Linked DNA regions of Tribolium castaneum. The protein of the gene in region 1 purifies or fractionates together with the protein of each later gene. This does not show direct contact. Links are inferred from orthologs where the notes say so. Each region holds a gene or a part of one and is shown on either strand. Other genes may lie near its edges. The genes, in order: enkurin and armadillo segment polarity protein.

What was found.
Region 2: the proteins of enkurin (region 1) and armadillo segment polarity protein purify together in Homo sapiens (affinity purification with western blotting; 3 studies listed by BioGRID). This does not show direct contact. The link is inferred for Tribolium castaneum from reciprocal best matches to the Homo sapiens genes ENKUR and CTNNB1.

Annotation. Positions count from the first base shown.
Region 1 is NC_087394.1:7,008,872-7,012,001, forward strand, and holds the end of enkurin, read right to left. Parts: intron 751-3,130; coding exon 559-750; 3' UTR 536-558; downstream 1-535. Other genes in the region: Cpsf5 (cleavage and polyadenylation specificity factor subunit 5), read left to right, coding at 96-210, 269-290. UniProt on the Homo sapiens protein: Adapter that functions to localize a calcium-sensitive signal transduction machinery in sperm to a calcium-permeable ion channel.
Region 2 is NC_087395.1:16,178,640-16,182,476, forward strand, and holds part of armadillo segment polarity protein, read left to right. Parts: intron 1-1,102; coding exon 1,103-2,727; intron 2,728-3,837. UniProt on the Homo sapiens protein: Key downstream component of the canonical Wnt signaling pathway.

The DNA.
Region 1 (3,130 bases):
GTTAACATGAATTTTACGTTTTGTGTAGCTTTTTTCTTTCCTTCAATTTTCACCAACGACTCGTTACATCTGCTTATTTTTCACATATTTTACAGCACTTTTTGCCGTTCCGAAAAACTACAAATTGGTAGCCGCACCTCTCTTTGAGCTTTATGACAATTCACAAGGTTATGGGCCGATAATCTCGTCATTACCGCAAGCCCTGTGCAGGTATTTAATCACTAGTGTAATAATTACGTGTTTTATTGACGTGTTTTATTTTTTCCAGATTCCAGTTTATTTATATGTGAACAAACGAAGGTGTTCGTGAATGTAAGCATTTTTTACGTGTTAGCAGTGTGTGTGAGTATGTTGTTTCAGGTATGCAATAGGAGGATAAGGAACAAAAATTGATAAGAAAATTAGTGTTTCTTTTGTAATTTATAAACTACGTTTACTTTTAAGGATAGTGTTTCAAGTGTTACTAAAAGAAAATGATTTTTCTGTTCCGAGTAAATTGATTTAGTACCGTCCCAAATTTCGTTAACCTCCAACCTTACAATTTATACAATTATTTTATTAATTTACAGATAGTATGTTATCGTCGTATACATAAATATAAGGATGTCTTTCCACTAGTACTATATCTTTTTCTAATTGCTTTAGTTCCGCTTCTAGTTTCGATTTTCTGTTTATTTTGGGGATAGTGTCCGTTAAAATGGGCAGGCCCTGGTATTGTTTCTGTAATTCCTCCCAGTTGTGTTTCAGTCCCTGCAATAAAAATTTATTTAAAAAATCAATTTGAAAAAAAAACAGGTTTTGTAGCGATTTTTTTTACACAGGTGATTTAAAAGTCTCAGATGATCTTGTGGGCATCCAACTTAGTTAAAAATTCTTATGACATAACTAAAAATTGTTTCAGCGTTTTTAACGAGATATACCTTTTTAAAAGTTAAGACCTTGGATTAAATCTGTTCTCAGCGTCCAAATAAACTTATTTGGTCATTTTTTTTAAATTTTATTGTATTAGTGTCTCTTATAATCCTGGAAAATGATTTTGTCTCCGAGTTACTGTTTTATTTAAAATTTATTATACAAAAGAACTTAGTTTTTATTTCTTTACATAAGAACTTACGAAGACTTAAAGAAGTTCTTACTGATCTAAAGATAAACCCTCTTTGTAGACGGACCCCAAAGTTAAACTACATAATTTCTGATAATTTTAATTATTATGTAACTCACCTCAATATAAGAAACTAATTTACAAATATTTCAAGTATTGCAATTTGCAGACAAGGCATTATTGTCTTGTTAAGGCCTTGGGATAAATTTGTTCTCTGCGTCCAAATAAACTTATTTGGTCATTTTTTTTAAATTTTATTGTATGAGTGTCTCTTATAAATGTGATACAATCCTGGAAAATGATTCTGACTCCGAGTTACTGTTTTATTTAAAATTTATTATACAAAAGATTTTAGTTTTTATCTCTTTACATAAGAACTGACGAAGACTTAAAGAAGTTTTTACTGATCTAAAGATAAACCCTCTTTATAGACAGACCCCAAAGTTAAACTACATAATTTCTGATAATTGTAATTATTATCTAACTCACCTCAATATAAGACATTAATTTACAAATATTCCAAGTATTGCAATTTGCAGACAAGGCATTATTGTCTTGTTAAGACCTTGGGATAAATTTATTCTCTGCGTCCAAATAAACTTATTTGGTCATTTTTTTTAAATTTTATTGTATGAGTGTCTCTTATAAATGTAATACAATCCTGGAAAATGATTCTGACTCCGAGTTACTGTTTTATTTAAAATTTATTATACAAAAGATTTTAGTTTTTATCTCTTTACATAAGAACTGACGAAGACTTAAAGAAGTTTTTACTGATCTAAAGATAAACCCTCTTTATAGACAGACCCCAAAGTTAAACTACATAATTTCTGATAATTATAATTATTATCTAACTCACCCCAATATAAGAAACTAATTTACAAATATTCCAAGTATTTCAAATTTGCGGGCAGACAAGGCATTATTGTCCTGTAAGTAATCATTTATTTCTTTGTTCAATAATTTATTTAATTTAATTAAATTAATTTACTTATTAAAAACTAAGTATACATAAATCTCTCTTCGTTTGAATTAAGAATTTTTCTACAATTCCTTACTATAAAATTTATAGTAAATTTATTATTCAACTAATAATATTTAATATTATTAATTAAATAATGAAATTACATAATTAAACAAAAAATAAAATCGAAATTTTCTGATTTCTAGTCATTCCAAAATAGCGATGCATAAAAAAAGCTACAAATAAAGGTCGAAAATTACATTATTTTGGGCCTTTTTTGTTCAATTTTATCTTGTTTTTGAGAGAGGACTCAGTTCTTTGTACACTTTATTCAAAAATGACTAAATTAAGTCGAAATTAGTTATTAATTCTTTGGGCTTGTTCTTAGTGATTTTGTTTTATTTGTATTTTTATTTTGATCTATTTCGTCAGTTTTAACTCATTTATAATTTATCGATAAGTGAGAAACTTACTTGTTTTGCGAAATTTCCCTAACAATTCTGTGTAATTACGAATTAATTTATTAGTGATATTATTTTTTTCTTTTTCAAATGCTGGAGCACATTTTCCAATTAAAAATTCACTATTCTCGCGAAATTTTACTCAGCAATAATAGACTAAAAGAAAACCAATAAAGATTGAAAATTACGTTGCTTTTTCGCACGAAAACTAACTAATTTCACATAATTTCCCTAAAATTGTTAAACAATTTATTGTATTATACTTAGTCTTCTTAGGATTTAGGTTAGTTTCGATTTTTTTAAATAAAGATTTTATTTGGAAAAACCTTGGATTAAGCATTATTATTTCAAAATGAAAGCTTAGAATATAAATTTAAATTTACATTTTATTTTTTTGTACTTTTTTTAATTTAATTTACTTTTACAATTATTTATTCACAGTACCTATTTTTTGTACAAATCATAAAAATACACTATGAATCAATAAAGATTATTAAAGATATTTTGTTTTTAGAATTAGTAGAAACGAACTAAAAAAAATTCACACAAACTGCAGAGAAGTAAAAAGAATAAAATAAAAAACAAATAAAATGCTGAAATAAT
Region 2 (3,837 bases), on another chromosome or scaffold:
ATGTTACGATATAAATATAAATAATAAATACTTTTGTAACTTATCTTCAATAAGAAGCAGTAATTTTTTTTATTATTTGTTTAGTGGTCACTGATCAGTAAGGCCCAATAGTGTGTCTGCGACTTTTGATGTACCCGATTTTGCTTTTTATTTTTGCTTTACTTTTAAGGATCTCATTTTATTTTGCTGACCATCACATAACAAAATACAATACTAGTATAAAAAATAATAATCGTATTTTCAATTTAATTTCTTTTTATTCCTTTAGTTAATTACTGGTATTATTTTAGAATATAAATTTTTATTTTTCTAGAGGTGAAGAAAATTTCAATTGTTTTCTATTTTTTATAAAAGCGGCACTCATTTTTGATTTTCAATTTTGAACAGCAATTTATTCTTATTAGTTATTAACTTATTACTTAGGGCCATTTTCATAACCATAATAAGGATTATTAAATTAAATGTTGCTTATAAAGTGCTCGTTTTTACGATTTGTTGACAAACTTTACACATTTTAATAATTTAATTTAATGCTCTTTTAAATTCGGTTATGAAACTGGCCCGTCATCATAAAAATAAGTAAGACTTCTGATAACTAGTCCATCAAATTCAAATTATACGGGGTTAAATAACTAAGAATCTTTTTTTATTGTTTAAAATTGAATTTTAAAGTCAATGCCAAGGGTTGCGAAAGAGAAGAATAGAATTTTCGCCTGAGACATGTGCTTATCTAAAGCTAAAGTGCTACTTATAACAGTCCTTATCGGGATATTACCAGCGTTATTAAATATAATTATGTATGAGATTCGTTTATTTTTGTTTCCTCATGCAAATAGGGGATTATCCCGACCATCAGCACATGTTGAAATTCCCTTTGTTGGTTTCGCACGAACACGTAATAATGACCACGTCACTTCCAACCCATGAACAACTCGCAAACAAATGTACTAGGGGATTGCATCCTCTTTAATAATCCACTTATACTTTGTAATCGTGAGTTCCCATTAATAAACTCCCAAGTTTTTACCCCCTTCATTACTATGTATTCAAGCTGGATTTTCTCTCATGTAAGTCTCAAAGTGACACAGTTATTTTTGTCCAGTCTCGCAGAGCCACTATCAGGGGGGCCCCGGTGATTTACCCATGCCGCCCGCGAAAGAACAGACCCTCATGTGGCAACAAAACTCGTACATGGGCGACTCCGGCATCCACTCCGGAGCCGCCACCCAGGTACCATCCCTGAGCGGGAAGGAAGAAGACATGGACCTCTTTGACTTGGATCAAGGATACTCCCAAGGCTTCACCCAGGATCAGGTCGACGAAATGAACAACCAGCTCAACCAGACGCGCTCGCAGAGGGTCAGAGCTGCCATGTTTCCGGAGACTTTGGACGAAGGGATCGAAATCCCCTCGACTCAGTTCGATCCCAGCCACCAGACGGCCGTTCAAAGGCTCTCCGAGCCGAGTCAAATGCTCAAACATGCAGTCGTCAATCTAATCAATTATCAAGACGACGCGGATTTGGCGACTCGTGCCATCCCCGAGCTGATCAAACTATTGAACGACGAAGACCAAGTGGTTGTTTCGCAAGCCGCGATGATGGTCCACCAGCTCTCCAAGAAAGAGGCTTCGAGGCACGCGATCATGAACAGTCCGCAAATGGTGGCAGCGCTAGTGAGGGCCATTTCCAACTCGAATGACCTGGAAACGACCAAAGGTGCAGTCGGCACCTTGCACAAATTATCGCACCATCGGCAAGGTCTCCTGGCCATCTTCAAAAGCGGGGGAATTCCAGCATTGGTCAAACTGCTGAGCTCCCCGGTTGAAAGTGTGCTCTTTTACGCCATCACCACCTTGCACAATTTATTGCTTCACCAAGACGGCTCCAAAATGGCCGTCCGCTTAGCCGGAGGCTTGCAAAAAATGGTCGCGTTGTTGCAACGAAACAACGTCAAGTTCTTGGCAATTGTGACCGACTGTTTGCAAATCCTGGCGTACGGCAACCAGGAGAGCAAACTGATTATTCTGGCATCGCAAGGTCCCATCGAACTCGTGAGAATCATGCGGTCGTACGACTACGAGAAGTTGCTCTGGACGACGTCCCGAGTCTTGAAAGTCCTATCCGTGTGTCCGAGCAACAAGCCGGCCATCGTCGAAGCCGGCGGCATGCAAGCCCTGGCCATGCACCTGGGGAACCCCAGCGGCCGCCTCGTGCAGAACTGCCTCTGGACCTTGCGTAACCTCTCCGATGCCGCGACCAAAGTCGACGGTCTCGAAGGCTTGCTCAGTTCCCTGGTGCAGGTTTTGAACTCGCAAGACGTCCACGTCGTTACTTGCGCTTCTGGTATTTTGTCTAACCTGACGTGTAACAACCAACGCAACAAAGTCACCGTTTGCCAAGTCGGTGGTGTTGATGCCCTTGTGCGCACAATTGTGAGCGCTGGGGATCGTGAGGAGATCACAGAACCGGCCGTTTGCGCTTTGCGACATCTCACGTCGAGACATGTGGAGTCGGAAATGGCGCAAAATGCAGTCAGGTTGAATTACGGTATTCAAGTTATCGTGAAGTTGTTGAATCCGCCATCGCGTTGGCCGCTAGTCAAGGCCGTTATCGGGCTTATCAGGAATTTAGCGCTGTGTCCGGCCAATCATGCACCACTAAGGGAGCATGGGGCGATACATCATTTGGTGCAGCTGCTGATGAGGGCCTTCCAGGACACACAGAGGGTAAGACATTGCAGTTACTTATTGTATCTGTTACGGCTAGTGTGTAAACTTGGCTAGTTTGTAAACTAGTCAGACCATTCGCTATTTTAATAGAAAACACAGTTTCAACTAAAATAGCGGCTAGTTTACAAATTAGCCAAGAATCTTTGCTATTTTACTGGAAAGATAAAATAACTGAATAGTTTATAGATTATTCTAAGACATTCTGGCTAGGTAATATGAATACCATACTTTATCGTAATACAAAATATCCAATTTATATAAGTTTATTTGTTTATTTAAATTACGGACACAATCATATTTGAGACTTTTAATAAACACCGGTTTTTTTTCTTAATTCTTCTTGTGCTACGACAGCATTTTCGATCTTAAGGGTGGGTATACAATATTTAACGGTTCTATTTTGTTTTCACTTATTAAACTTTTTTATTCTCATTATTATTCTGTAACTTACTTCGTATAGTACTTACGCCTGTTTTATATAATTATTGATTTGAAGTTTTTGCTAATAAATGAGAGCTTTGAGCTTTAAACTAGAACCATTTCTGGTCTAGATAACTTGACCTCAGGATTTCTTTTCAATTTCTACTTTTGAAGATTTACATATTACACACAATAAAAAATTAAAATTGAATTTTTAATATATTATGGTTCAGTATTTTATTTGCTTCTCTTTTTTGTAAGATTTTTGGACTTCAAGGGCAAGCTTGTAGAAGTATTTTTTTGAAACTGTTTGTAATATTCGGAATTATTTATGAAGAATTGCAATTAGATAATTTTTTCATTACAATTAATGAAGCCTCTAACTTACAGTTAGAATCTTAGGGTGTTATAGAAGTTAATTTTAGCATCAACTATGTTGAATAGTTTTTCTTCTTGGAAGGTAAATTTTCATTCTATCTGTCAAGTAAATTAGCCAAGAATTTTGGCTAGTTTACTAACTAGCCAAGGTTACACATTAGCCATAACATAACTACCTTTTCGGATTAAATGAGAAACAAATTCGTTTTATTATTGGGTGTTTGAGCTTGTGAGAGCCAAAAACTCTCCAATAACATTCTGAATTAAACAAAACTATTATGTTTATTAAGGGTAGTCTAACTCTCCGAT